2 linked regions of the Kluyveromyces lactis genome follow. The protein of the gene in region 1 binds, or shares a complex with, the protein of each later gene. Links are inferred from orthologs where the notes say so. Each region holds a gene or a part of one and is shown on either strand. Other genes may lie near its edges. The genes, in order: MRPL15 and MRPL20.

Region 1 (7,703 bases):
TACAGTCATTCCAAAGACAGCATCAATCGACTGGAGTTCAGATGAAGAGGATCACAAACCAGAAGCTGATGAGAAGGAATTAGCTAGTGAAGACAATGACGTTATTAAGATAGATAGAGCGTTTTCACTAAATCAGTCCCCGGTCATTATTCCAGATGAAACACAAAGCCCACCTCAACCTACAGCTTCCTCACCTGTGGGAAATAGAAGTCCGATTTCCATAGATGACCATTTCACGTTCTCAGAGAGACCGTTATCACAATCCAGTGAGGCTAGAACTCCATTGGCTCAAACTGCTGCCACTACAGCAATGGCTGCAAGTGCTGGGTTGTCGCCTTTCACCAGTAATAAAAATAAAATGGGATCCTTGTCTCAATCGGTAGAACGTAACAAAGATCGTGATATAGAGCTATTAGTTCTGGAAGGGAATAAGTTGGACAGTACCATTACAACTTTGGAGAGAGAAAAATCAGAACTTTTGAATCAATTAGATGAATTGAAGACCAATAATCAACGATTAACAGAAGAAGTTCAGCAATTGAAACAGAATGCCGACCAATCAAGTACTACTAAAGCTCTAGATAGTAATTTCCAAAAGGGAATGTCCGAAATGACTACTCAACTAAATCAACTGTCAATAGAAAACGAAGAACTCAAACAAGAAAAACTAGAACTTCAGCTGCAATTGAAAAATATACAGTCTCCAGTTAAATCGATTGACGGTAAATCAGGGAAGGATGCTGCCTATTGGAAATCAAAGTATGAAGACGCTTTTGCTGAAAAACCTGTCAGAACAAGCTCTTCTTCTATGGCCCCCATTTCAAACAAGCAACTTTTCCCTGAAACTAGTATAATACCGTCAAATCTCATCGACGACTTGGATTCCAAGTTATCACAAATACTAAGCCTCATTGTGTCACCTGAACCTCCAGTTTTGTTTTTATTCGAGAACATTGCTTCCATTTCAGAATATTGTTCAAAAATTTTAACTTTAGTTCACTCCCCAGATACAAAGACCATGAGACTAGTGTTAGAGAACACAATATCACATGCTATCACATCTGTGCGTTACTTCAGCAGCTATAAAACTCCATTATCAAGAGTTATTCTTGAAAATTCTGTTTCAGAAATCTCATTTGCAATCTATGATTTGGTTAAGACGGTAAATGGCGGATCCAATAACGATGAAATATTCACATCAAATAAATCTGGTGATCAACTGGATAGTCCACTTGGCCTCTCCATGCAAAATAGACAAACCTCGAATAACTTTGCTAAAGGTTTACACGAGGGAAGTGTTTTAGACAAACCATCACTTCTTCCTTCTCGGGCTGATAGCGTTGAAATGTCTCCGGTCAAACCTTTGAAAATTACCCAGAAAAAAAATACCGACGACGCGTCATCAAGGCCTGTTTCAGTTAGAAAGCCCTCTGGAACTGGCTTATTTACAGCAATGCTTAATGGGGGTATGAAGAAAGATAACGCATCAAAGAAATCCAAGAATATATTGCAGTTAGAATTACCTCTGGATAACAATTCCAAATCGGAAAGCAATGCTCCTATAATCGAACGCAGAGAATTGAAGACCATTGATGCAATTAAGTCTGCTTCAGCCAGCAATTCACTTCTACCTACTTCGCCACTTGCCAAAAAATCATCAGCAGTTGTTCCTTCTGACTTTAAAGACCCAAATCCTTTTGAGTTATCATCTCCAGAAAAGGGAAAGCTATTGCAAAATATTAATTCTGACATATACAACAGCAATGATGAAGAAACTGAAAGCGAAAGTGTAGAGGAGGAGGACGATGGGAATTCTACATATGAAGTGTTAAGACAAACCATGAAGCAAAAGCATCTACAAGAAGAAAACGGAACCAACGAAGAAAAAAATTTGAAAGGAATTTTTTCGCCAGTGGTACATCCACAACCTATTGAAGTTTCAACAGAGGATGTCGACTTAAATGAGAAGTCATTCAATTTTGAATCTGAAGAAAATGCTAAATCTGAATCTGAATCTGTACCTTCGATAACTGTAAACAAAAAGAATATAAAACTCGTTCCTATCCCTGCCGTTACTCCAACTTTGAAACAAAAAGAGCCATCCCCATCACCTACTGCCGAATTGGTTATTTCTCCATTAAGGCCTATAGTAACTGCTTCTGATAATTCAAAAGTTAATGACGATCAGAAGGCCGTCGATGCCAACAAAAGCGAGTCAGAAACTAAAGAAATCGCAGAACAATCAGAAACTGGTGAAACTGACGACGACATTGAATTTGACGTTGATGCGTTTGACATTGAAAATCCTGACAATAGTCTTTCTGACTTATTGCTATACCTAGAATATCAGACAATGGATGTTATAAACACAATTCAATCGTTATTGAGCAGTATTAAGTTACCTAAATCCACTGCTGGAGAACTAAGAACCGAATCAAATGCTATCAATCAAGTAATAAGGCAAATGGTGGAAGCTACAAGTGTTTCCATGAACCAAAGCCGTAATTCTCAATTGAAAGAACATGGTTCATGGGTTGTTCAGAGTTTAGATGACTGTCGTCGTAGAATGACCATACTTTGTCATCTTAAACCAGACGGTATTGTAGTAGCGCACGAGGGGGACGAAGAGTTCGCAGATAAGCATTTCAAACAACGTTTAGCTGGTATTGCATTTGATGTAGCAAAGTGTACCAAAGAATTGGTAAAGACTGTGGAAGAAGCTAGTCTTAAGACCAACATTGAGTATTTAAATGCTAAGCTTTCCAAGTAAATTACCAGCAAAAAACATCCCTTCTATGAAGTTATATATGTATTTATATACATGTATTGTATTATGTACTTTTCTTAATCTGTTTTTATTTTGTATGTTAACATTTAATTAATGATAGATTTAGTTGTAAATTTATGTACGTCTATATTTCTAGAGATACATGAGATATATACAGTGCGCGCGTTTCTTTCGAGGTTCATTTTTAATTGAAGTGTGACGATGGAGTGTCGTTAAAAGGTTATGCTTTTCATGCTTTTGGTAAATTCATTATAATAAAACGTTGAAATTGAGCAGGGATGAAAGAGTAGATTAAAACACCACATTGACCAAGAGCTGTGATTGAAACTTCCGTTTCGAAATATATATATACAAGTTTTGAAAGCTCTTTCCCAACTCCGATGGAGACCATTCACTCGAGTGCTTTTTATTGATGTCGAAGTCTATTGTGTATTCCATTTCTCTTTCTTTCCTGTCGTGTAAAATTAGACATAATATTATAACTTCTCGGTCGTATCCCTGTTTGCTAACAAACTTTCAGATATCTTCGTTAGGGAATCACTATTGTCGCTGAATAGTTCATGCAACACGTATTCGGTGGCCTTGTCTTGACCGTGCAATAGATAGACACTGCCGACCACAGAATTTAGCACAGTTTGTAGCACGGTATACTCACCGTTATATTTGTGACTTTTTTGAGTGTCTCGTTTGTTCCAAAACACTAATTTATCTAGGTTTCTCCTTTGCAAAAATTCAGCCGTACTCTGTTTGGATATTAACATTTTAGAACTTCCCTTCCCAAGCATACCGAAATTTAGTCCGTTAATAACAGGTTCAGACTGTACGCTTTGTGATAGTTGCCTTTCAGAAACAGGTAGACCCAAGGAATGAAGACAAGCTTGATATTTCACAAAATGACCACCGATAATAGACAATTTCTGATTGTATGGTTTAATACCTTGGGCAAACGACTTGTGAGTCAAACATTGTGTAATGATGTCGTCTGGCAAGTCAATACCATATTTTTCCAAATTCAAACCTTGCTTAACAGTAGATACATGGCCATCCTTGACAAGAGAATCATAGTGCAAACCGTGTGGATTCTTCAAAGACTCAACTGGGTCTCTTTTCAAACCACGTACCCTAGTCCCAACGTGTAGATAAGAACCATTACGCACGCCGAATTTTGTGCTTAAGTTAAGACCAATTTTGGTTAAGGACATTATTCCAGAAGTAAAAAAATACTGTCTGAATGGTTTCTGTCTGGTATTTTCACAATTCAATCTTCCTCGACCGAATATCAACAGATTGTAATTACACAGGACACAAATATTAGAATTATTGAATCTTAATTCTAACAGTTTAGTCCTTTTAACTACGATTCAAACTGTTTCTTTGTAGTTTTTCGACTCGAGGCAGCGATCCAAATTTTGAAATTTTTCAAAATTTTTCAGATCACTCCAAACGAGGTCATCGCTGTGTCTAAGTGCTATCTTGTATGATGGGAATACATGCAATATCAAGGCATTAGGTACTGTTATCAAGGGAATATGGTCATTATGGGCTGGTATTATGAGGGCTTAATACCAGCTGTATCTTAAAGTAAGCTTTGCTGCATCTTTATGCCTTGAGAAGTACTTTTATATCGATTTTTACACTTATTGTACCCTAAGTTTTGTGAAAAGAAACGCTTCAGTAAGATCAATTTTAATTGAAAAAACTGCAATTAGATGTAGGCGATGAGATGAGATGAGATGAGATGAGAGAGTAGTAAGAGATTGATTATATCACTCACAGTGGTTTACTATCGAATTTATTCTCATTACTAAGTAACTTCTCACAGGCCAATACTAGCACCGCTAATTAACATGGATATCTTTAGAGTCTTGACTCGTGGAGCTAGCATAAGGAAGAATGGTGATTCTAATAGAACACAGTCTGCAGACTTTAGCATGGCTAATGAAAAGAAGAGTAAGACAGCTGGCAGCTCAAGTACACCAGCTAGAGATGAACAACAATTGACTAAGGAGTTGGATTTTTTCCGTAATAAGAAAATCATGAATAAGGTAAAGTCTGAGTCAACCAAAGGTGAAGGTGAAGACGAAGTACAAGAAGATAATCAAGAAGAAGACGAAGATCATGCTGATGACGAGACTGAGTTATCCGGGAAAATTATCACGAAACAAGATGCGTTAAAGTTACGTAAATCTTATCAAGGGAATGTTTCAGGGAATAGTGTTCCTTTGCCCATCGGTTCTTTTGAAGACTTGATCACAAGGTTCCAATTCGATAAGAGATTGTTAAACAACCTCATAGAAAATAACTTCACTGAACCAACTCCGATTCAAAGTGAATCTATACCGATTTTGTTGCATGAACGTGACATGATCGCTTGTGCTCCCACAGGTTCTGGTAAAACGTTGGCATTTTTGATCCCACTACTGCAACAGATAATCAACGATAAAACCACAGTTGGTCTTAAAGGTTTAATTATATCCCCAACAAAAGAACTTGCGAACCAGATCTTCATCGAATGTTCCAAATTAGCGAACAAGATATACTTGGACAAGAAAAGACCTCTGCAAGTTGCCCTACTTTCAAAATCATTAAGCTCAAAATTAAAGAATAAAGTTATCAGTGAGGACAAGTACGATATTATCATTTCTACTCCCTTGAGATTGATTACTGTGGTTCAGGAAGAAGCCTTGAATTTGGGTAAAGTGAAACATTTAATATTTGATGAAGCGGATAAATTATTCGACAAGACATTTGTGGAACAAACTGATGATATCTTGAGTTCATGTACTGATCCACATCTCCGTAAAACAATGTTCTCTGCCACTATACCATCCAACGTGGAGGAAATCGCCCAAACCATCATGAACGATCCTATCAGAGTCATTATCGGTCACAAAGAAGCAGCAAATATCAACATTGATCAACAATTAGTATTCTGTGGTAACGAGGAAGGTAAACTTATAGCCATCAGGCAATTGGTTCTTGAAGGTGAATTCAAACCTCCAGTAATCATCTTTTTGGAATCTATTACAAGAGCCAAGGCATTGTTCCATGAATTGCTATATGACAAGTTGAATGTGGACGTGATCCATGCCGAAAGAACTCAAGTTCAAAGAGATAAAATTATCGAAAGATTCAAGTCTGGAGACCTTTGGTGTTTGATCTGTACCGATGTGTTGGCTCGTGGTGTCGACTTCAAAGGTGTGAATCTGGTCATCAATTATGATGTTCCTAGATCAGCTCAGGCGTATGTGCATAGAATCGGTAGAACAGGTAGAGGTGGTAGATCCGGTAAAGCCATTACTTTTTACACGAAACAAGATTCTTTGGCAATTAAACCAATAATAAACGTGATGAAGCAAAGTGGATGTGAAGTCTCAGAGTGGATGCAAAAGATTTCTTCCATGTCCAAAAGAGAGAAGGAATCATTGAAAAAGGGTAAGGGTCATGTGGAGAGGAAACAAATCAGTACTGTTCCTAAGGTTGTAAAACAAAAAAAGAGACAAAGAAGAGAAATGATCGAAGCTTCAAAGAAACGGAAACTCTCTGTATCGGATGCCGAGGAAGAAGCTGGCAACGATTCGACCTAACCTCAGGATAACCCCTGTTGCTTATTTCCAATATCAAATGTTCGAATTAAGTCATGATGATATACATATAATTAAAGCGTCGCAGAATCCGTATGTATATTACATATAGACGATACATATATATAGTCTTTTAACACTTCATCTGGGAAACCAGAGTAAAAGTCGCTTTATTTTTAGGTTGTTTTTTTCTTGGCTGGAAATGAATATAGTGTTGTTTGTAGTTGTTAAAATTTCGTTCGTATGTTACTGAATATGCTTTTAAAATTGATACGGTCGGCCTCTCAATCAATTCCATTTTTAGTGGTGAGTAGAGTAGTTACGGTAACCAACAACCTTTCTTCTACCGATAATTTCACCCAATGAGTATAAACCTAACAATTGCACGCCGAAAGCACCGATCTTAACGGCTTGGTCCTTTTCAATGTTCTTCAACAAGTTAACAACTTGTTGAGGCTTATCAGCATAACCCAAAGCTTGTCTGTACAATCTGGTGTAGACCATTTCAAAGTCCGAGAAGTTTGGTGGCTGTAGACCTTCCTTAGTGTAGACCTGCTTGGATAATTCAGCAGTAACCTTACCGTAGTAAACGGTCTTGGTCAACAGTGATTGTGTCTTGTGTGTCAAAGAAGAAACTAAAGATTGGACTCTGGAAATCATTGCTGCTCGACTTTTATCTATTGAATACACTAAACCAACCAAGCTAGAAGTGTGAGACCTTGTAATCTTCTATCAATTGACTCTTGACTTGATGCTTTAGTTCGATATCTCTTCATGTTTGGTTCAATTCAATGAAAATTTTGAGGGAAAAGATCAACAGTATTACCCGGACATTTGAAATATCCGGCCAATCATATTTGAGAACCGTTGACTTAAACGTAAGTGAAGAGTACTTCACTTCTTGTAAAGCTTATGAATAGCGGTGGTTTACTCCATGGCTGGTCTGTATGCCTTATGGGTTTCTGTTAAGGTTACTGTGACCCCGTTTTACCCTGGCCATTGATGTCTTTAAGAGTTATTATCATAATTAAAAGAATTAAGATGGTTTATGGATGACTATATGAGAAAAACTATAAGGTGATGACTTCCATCAACGTTCGATAACATCGTCCAAGTTTTGCCTCACTTTACTTTTGTTAGTTTCCGATCTGATTGATTCGATCTTTGCTATGATTTGAGATTGCACAGCTTTCATTTCCCGTGGGTTAGCATCTTGCCATTCCCTTAATTTGTAGGTTTGACCCGATAGATCCCAGTATATACCTCTTACCGTGGTATATATGCCGTGTCTTCCTTCCCATAGTGGGTAACAGCACACACAGAATGCAGTG
Region 2 (7,676 bases), on another chromosome or scaffold:
AGTTTTTGAACTTTGTTTATCTTGTATAGATAAATCAGCGACCTTTTCTTTAATTTTATCCACCTCGAATGCTGCCTTTTGTTGGTTTATTACGACATCATCCGGAGATGGCTTGCTAAAGTTAGCAATTGCTTGTTTTTTAACTACTCTATTGTTAGTATTTGGATAATAGACTGAAAACAGTTCTTCGTGTTTCCTTTTCGTGGTTGTTGAATTAAACTCTAGTTTCTCCAAGATGCCAGAATATAACGGTACCTTGTTGATTGCCAGAATTTCGTTTATATTACTGACATATGCTGAATCTTTCAATTGGTTAAGTATGACCCATGGGTCATCCTTATCTTTCTTTTCATGATCTATCTTATTTTCTTCGATGACCACCTCTACGTTCGTTTCTTCCGCTTCGGGTTTCTCTATAATCTGTCCCTCAGGTTTACTTTTCCTGAGTGATGCCAATTTTGATGCCAATGTGTGAGTTTTCGGTTGTGAAAAGGATGCAGTTGCAGCGCCGTTACTGTTATTGTCAGTAGTAATGGGTCCCCTTTTAAGTGATTGCAATCGACTAGCTACGGATACAGTTGTTTTTACAGGATTACCATTTTGTCCATTACCACCTCCGTTCTTGAGTTTGTCCAGAAGAGAAACCTTAGTTGTTGCAGGTGCCATTGTTGAAGCCTTATTCCTTGCTTCTGCACGTTTCCTAGCCAGTAATTCTAAGGCCGATAGTTTCTTTTCCACTTTCTGTTCTGCAAACAAACAAATAAATGATACTTAGTTAGTCATATAGCTCATTAGAGATGCAATACAATACACGCTGTTCAATCAAGTCAATTGTTTTTTCTTCTGCTGCCCGTCCGAAACACAAATAAGCACCACGTTCACGACCATCATGATCAATCGACATGTCCAGCTCCGTTAGTACAATATATCATAACCCTCTTCCCGTCCACAAAGAAGATAAAATACAAGATAGGCAGACCCCCCTAGTACCAATTTTGTTTACCATGGAAGAACCAACAAGAAATCATAACTGAAAACACGTAAAAATATAAAACACCGCCACGTCCAATGCCAATTATACATACCCTTTTTCTTGAATCTTCTCTTTAAATCGACCAATGCAGGTTCTAACTCGAAATTGTGATCAAAAATCGCAACTTTCACGGCCAAGTTATCCCAACCCTGATAATCAGCTAATTGCTCCTTCGCCAGGGGAAACAACTGGTTCATCAATTCAAATTCTTCATCGTTTAAATAATCGTCAAATTCATCCTCGTCCTGGAAATCAGGTACATCGTCGTCATAATCCACAGCGTCATCATCGTCATAAAACTTAGACATAATAAACTGCTTCGCTTAGTCAGAGAATCAGGCAATAGACGGTATAATTCGAGTTTAAATGCAGGTTGAACCGAATAACAAGAGAATTGCTTGCGATTAGAAACCTTTTGTAATTGAGATTTTCAGATTTTTTCAGAAACTGTTGATACTTGTCACGTGACTTTAAAAATTTCTTTATCAGTTGCTGCGTCGACATGCAATCTCTTTATCGATGAGATGAGATGAGTTGTTATCGATAGCATGAAGTGAGTTGTAAACAGTGCAGTTTGTCCATTAGTACATTCTTTTTTTGGTCAAGAAGGTAATTCCCGGTAGGTGATTTAACAGGTGAACGAGTTGAATTTCCTAGGTAATATTTTGAAGAGAACAGAAGTGATATAGCCGATACGTTTTCGGATGACAGTTCCGGAGAATGTGCTGACAACGCATCAACGAGTGATACAGAGTTGTGTTTTGTATAATATCGTACCGCGAAGCATTGCAAGAGCGTGGGAACCCCAGCATTTGCTATGGAAGGGGAAGCTTATAGTAGACGAGCTTTTGCATTTGGATGGGTCCAATCAGTCGACGATGATGCAACCGTCGCTGTACAGGTTTCGATTCGTTTCGGATAAAGAGGACGGAGTTGATAAAGAGGATATAAACAGCGACGAGAGGTTGTTCTGTGAGACGCAGGTGATATCGAATCTGAAGGAGCTGCATACGGTATTGCAGCGGAGGGAGAAATGGTATCAGATAGCAATGTTGTGCGAGGGACAGCATAGGCATCAGATTGCATTGGAACTACAAATAAAAGATGCGTATCAGATGCAGTTATTCGAAGATATAATCCTGAGAATCCGAGATGAGTACGAAATTTTCCAAGAGATGTACGATGGGTATTAGTGGTACTAATGTATCATTTTTTCCTAACGATAATGACCCCAGCTGTAACTTATTGAGATAGACACTAATTTTTGCACGTCTTCCATTGTATTATATTACATGCATATATATAGATGTTATAAGCCATTTAATAGAGTTGATGACTAACGATTGAAACATAAGGTCGATGGTTATCTTATTACTATTTACAGATATACAGTATGTTGTTTTCTTTTACCTTTTCTCATGCTCTGTACCAGAGTTCCTTTCTCTTTTTTCTTTCGGCTCTGGCCAATGCTCTCTTAGGATGCCATTGGCTCTTTATCGTCTCAAGAACTTGATTCATTTCTGTCTTTCTTTCCTTGGGTGGTTCAGAAACAATAGAGATGAACAACGGAGAACAGTTGAACTTCTTTGCTAAAGCTTTTCTAGAGTTTTTCACCGGGTCCTCCAGTCTTAGTCTTCTAATCTCAGCGATGTCTTCAGGCTTCAAATGGTAGGTCTTCTCACCCTTCTCATGTAACACTGGCGCTACCCTCGATATCTCTGCGTTACCTTGCGTTAGGTCATCTATAATGTCGTGCCTTGGATCAGTGGCCGGTAAGAAAGATTTTGGAATCGTTTCTGAGTTAGTAGAACCATGGATAGAGGATGGAGCTGGATCGTAATATAGACCTGCTGGAATCTTGGCTTTCAAATAACCTTTGTAATTGGAGGCAGATGATTTTGGATTGTAAATGGTAGCTGGTCCAACGATCTTAGGTAACTTACCTGATTTATCAATTATCTTTGAAAGATCCTTGGCCGCACGGGCGCTGGTCGAAAATAGTCTCACCATACTGTAGCGAATATGTCAAATGTAATTTCTACAGCGTAATTGGGGATTATAAGCCTGGTGTAAGGGTCTAAAACTTGTTATTTAAACTATCAATCACCATGTTTCGCACTGCAGACTCTAAATCTTTCAGTTTGATGCTTTCAAATTTTTCAGATAGAAATCCTGATGAGACAGACAGGATTAGTATGGGAAAACAGTTTATTTCGAGAAATATAGGATTATTCTAGTGGATATACCTACCTGAAGATGCTTCTATATAATATCGATTAGTACTATGAATGAGTGTGAGCTGACCTGTTAAAATAGGGCTTATATTGGCGATATTATGCAGCTTTTAGAAGTGCCAATTTGGACTATTCTGTATCTTTTGTCACGTGAAAGCCGGGTAATCCCAACATCAACATCAAATGTCGTTCCTATTCACAACAGGAAGAGCTGAAAGGCTATGAGATGGGACAAGAATAATGGCATAAACAGTCCTTGTGATACTTCATTAGCAGCTCTGTCTCATCAGGTTTTACGCCAGGTGGTAGGTTTACCAAGCAACAGAATTAGATGAATGCAGAACTTCAAGAATGGATTCAACAGAATACGGAATCAAGAGTGACAGAGAAGTTTGTTGAGACTTTAAGGCAGATTGCACGTATTCATAAGGATGTAAACAAGTTCATCGGGGGTGCTAAGGCTTTGGGGAAATTTAAGGGCAAAGATGAGTTTTTGAAGCAACTTTTTGAAAAATTACAGGCACATAAGCAGTCTCCAAAGCCAGAATCAGCGGCTGTTCCAGCAAGAACCATAAGGAAAAAATTTGTGGTTAAACTTCCGTTGGATGACAAGGAAGACGACGATGAAGATGAGCTTTCTACTGTGAAGGTACAAGTGAAACCAAAATTCAACAAGCCTTTGACTTTGAAACGTATTACGAAGCAAACTGCAGCAAAATTGAATGAGTTTTCAGAAAACACTGAACCAGTGGTCATGGTAAAAAAAGAAGAAGCGACCAAAGGCACACTTATCGATGCAGAAGGTAGTGATGTGGAAGATATAAAGGACGCCAAGGATTTTACTGCACAAGATAGAAATTGGTACGATAATGATGATGATTTTGATAACGTCATTCACGATGATGAATATATACCAGCTCAGCAAGATCCGTACGAAGGCGGCGACAGAGAGCTTGACTTGAATGAACCTGAAATCCAATTAACTTCCTTATCGTTGAATGAGCGTAAAACCATTATTCCTCCGTTTTTACTTGATTTCCATGACCAGTCAGGAGAGCTTGCGATAGTGGGTGCTTTGGATATGTCTTCAAATGCAAATAAGGGAATAGCAGATCCGATAAGAAACCCTGAGAGCGACTTTTCTATTAATGCAAGGAGAGGCAGCAAGCTTGTAGCGATGAGGAGGATTCATAGAGATAGAAAATCTAAATCTCAGAACGCTACCGAGCTAAAAGGTAGCGCCTTAGGTAAAGTTCTAGGAGTAAAACAAGATAGTTCAACTGACGCGCAAACTAAGCAACCTAATCAGCCCATTGCTATAAAAGAAAAAGAGCAGAGCTTTGAAGAAATACAAGCAGTGAGAAGGTCTTTACCCGCTTATAAAGTACGACACGACTTAATGCGCCATATTAGAGATAACCAGATTACTGTGGTTATTGGTGAAACGGGTTCAGGTAAAACAACACAATTAGCACAATTCCTCTACGAAGACGGTTTCACTGCAAATGGTAGAATGATTGGATGTACACAGCCAAGAAGAGTAGCAGCTGTATCGGTTGCTGAAAGAGTTTCCAAAGAAATGGATACCCCAATTGGTGTTAAAGTTGGATACTCAATCAGATTCGAAGATCAGACTTCGGATTCAACAAAAATCAAGTTTATGACCGACGGTATACTCCTTAGGGAGGCAATGATAGATCCGTTGCTTGAGAAATATTCATGTATTATAATGGACGAAGCTCATGAACGATCTTTGAACACCGATGTGCTCCTAGGGATCTTCAAAACATTATTAGCTCGAAGACACGATTTAAAACTTGTCGTGACATCGGCAACAATGAATGCAGATAAGTTCTCCCAATTCTTTGGTAATGCGCCACAATATTTCATACCGGGAAAAACTTTCCCCGTCGAAATCATTTACACTAACCATCCAGTACCTGATTACGTTGAATCTGCTGTTCAAAAAGCTTTAGATATACATTTATCTACACCAATTTCAAATGGAGATATCTTGATATTTATGACTGGTCAAGAAGATATTGAAGCAACTTGTTCTACCATCATCGAACGCTTAACTGAGATCTATACTAAAAAATACGGGGCAAATTATGAGGAGCAATTAGCGGATGTTCAAGTTCTTCCAATTTACTCGTCGTTACCTGCAGATGTACAAGGAAGGATATTTCAAAGACAAGAACAAAACGTTAGAAAGATTGTTGTTGCCACAAATATTGCTGAAACATCATTGACAGTTGACGGTATTAAATATGTCATAGATTGTGGGTACTCCAAATTGAAGGTGTATAATCCGAAAATCGGCCTTGATAGTTTGCGAATCACACCCATCTCACTTGCAAATGCTAATCAACGGTCAGGAAGGGCTGGTCGTACGGGCCCTGGTATCGCATATAGACTTTTCACTCATGATTCAGCGATGGAAGATATGTATCCTCAGGCCATCCCAGAAATTCAAAGGACAAATTTGGCAAATACACTCTTGCAGTTGAAATCGTTGAATATCAACAACTTATCGAAATTCCCTTTCATTGATCCACCGCCATCGCAGAATCTAATGACATCGTTGTACGATCTTTGGGCCTTAGAAGCTTTGGACAACTTCGGTCATCTAACTAAATTAGGCAGACTGATGGGTGCCTTCCCTTTACAGCCCTTTCTTTCCAGGGTACTAATAAGTGCATCACAATATGGCTGTACCGAAGAGATGTTAACGATTGTATCTATGCTTTCGGTTCCGTCTGTCTTCTATAGGCCGAAGGAACGTGAAGAAGAATCTGACCAAGCCAGAAGCCGGTTTTTCATCCCTGAATCAGATCATTTGACCCTACTTAACGTGTATGCTCAATGGAAAGCCAACAGATATTCTGCCCATTGGTGTAATTCACGCTTCTTACAATTCAGATCTCTCCAAAGAGCTAAAGACATTCGAGAACAGTTACTCTATGTGATAAGAAAATTGAATTTACCGATGGCTTCTTCTGGGTCAGACTGGGCTCCAATAAGAAAATGTCTATGCACCGGTTACATCCAACAGACTGCCAAACTATCAGGGTTAGGCAAATATGTTCATTTAAAAACAGGGATGGATCTCAAAGTACATCCAACAAGTGCTTTATTTGGTCTTGGTGACCTTCCAGCGTATGTCGTCTATCATGAACTTTTGATGACTACAAAGGAATATATAAATGTCGTGACAGCTGTCGACCCATTATGGTTGATGGAATACAGTGGTATTTTCTATCATATAAAGAGACGAAAAGAACAATCCTATCAGTTCGGACTAAACTCTTCTCTGAATAACGATGATCAGGACCACCAGGACAAAATTGATCTTCAAATTGAGAAACTAAGGCTTAATGCAAAGGATAAATTGGAACGTCTAGAAACCGACAAATCTTCTGCTGCTTTAAATAAGACGAACAGTATAGAAATGAGAAGGACAACCAATGAACGTCAGGAACAGCCTGCGGTTAGGATTGGAATAAAAAGAAGAAGACCTTTCTAGTAGTATATATTAATAATTGACCGACCGACGAATATATACATCTTTGTACATGTAATTGAACAGTTGTTGAACTTTAAAGCATATCAGATACCCCAAACAGTGATTCTGGGTTCAGGGGAGACAGAGTTACCGTACCCAAAAGCATCTTGGAACGAGTTGTAAAATCCTCCGAAATTGCCACAGTTGGCTTGAGAGTACAACTCTTGAGACTTTGGCAACCATTTGGCCATGTTCTCAATTCTTCTTGTGGTTGCTGGATGAGTGGATAAGAATTCCACATTCACCATACCGCGACGCTTTTGTTGTTCCTCCATGGCTGCCATACGTTGCCATACTTTAAGGGACTCTTCTGGATGGAAACATGCACGAGACATAACCATCAATCCAATATAATCAGCCTCAGTTTCCATTTCCCTCGAAGCTGGCATTCTGACCAACCCATCTACTAGAAGTCTGTTGATCCCATCTAATCCGGTGACTGCATATATCAATGCTCCCAGAATAGAGTAGGCCGGGGCCTTTGAAAGGTTTTCTGCTGTGTGTCTGGCAAGCTGATGAGCAAATTCATGAGATAAGACCGTAGCTAACCCATCCTCATTCTGACATATCGGTAAGATGTTGCTGAAGACAAACACTTTACCACCTGGAAGCACAAATGCATTAGGTGGTGCTCTTGGATCATTGACAATATGAATTTTCCATTGAACATCTTTCAACAGGCTTTGATCCACACTTGGATCGTGCTCAGCAGCCTCCACAATCCGGTGGAAAATCTTGGTCACTTTCCTCGTTAATGGATGCGATTCCGGTAGGATTTTCCCCTTAGTCTCACTAAGAACCGAGTTGTAAGTGTATTGGCCAATCTTGAGTTCAAGTGACCTTG

Evidence for each region.
Region 2: MRPL15 (region 1) and MRPL20 share a complex: the UniProt entries of both Saccharomyces cerevisiae proteins name them as parts of the mitochondrial large ribosomal subunit. The link is inferred for Kluyveromyces lactis from reciprocal best matches to the Saccharomyces cerevisiae genes MRPL15 and MRPL20.

Annotation. Positions count from the first base shown.
Region 1 is NC_006039.1:1,525,306-1,533,008, forward strand, and holds MRPL15 (mitochondrial 54S ribosomal protein mL57), read right to left. Parts: upstream 3,991-7,703; coding exon 3,265-3,990; downstream 1-3,264. Other genes in the region: KLLA0_C17380g (uncharacterized protein), read left to right, coding at 1-2,770; RNA-dependent ATPase ROK1, read left to right, coding at 4,636-6,375; ATP20 (F1F0 ATP synthase subunit g), read right to left, coding at 6,673-7,032; DUR3 (Dur3p), read right to left, coding at 7,463-7,703. UniProt on the Saccharomyces cerevisiae protein: Component of the mitochondrial ribosome (mitoribosome), a dedicated translation machinery responsible for the synthesis of mitochondrial genome-encoded proteins, including at least some of the essential transmembrane subunits of the mitochondrial respiratory chain.
Region 2 is NC_006037.1:687,973-695,648, reverse strand, and holds MRPL20 (mitochondrial 54S ribosomal protein mL58), read right to left. Parts: upstream 3,044-7,676; coding exon 2,450-3,043; downstream 1-2,449. Other genes in the region: ribosome dissociation factor GTPase HBS1, read right to left, coding at 1-770, 1,086-1,341; KLLA0_A07777g (uncharacterized protein), read left to right, coding at 1,738-2,226; DEAH-box RNA helicase PRP16, read left to right, coding at 3,599-6,793; OMA1 (metalloendopeptidase), read right to left, coding at 6,877-7,676. UniProt on the Saccharomyces cerevisiae protein: Component of the mitochondrial ribosome (mitoribosome), a dedicated translation machinery responsible for the synthesis of mitochondrial genome-encoded proteins, including at least some of the essential transmembrane subunits of the mitochondrial respiratory chain.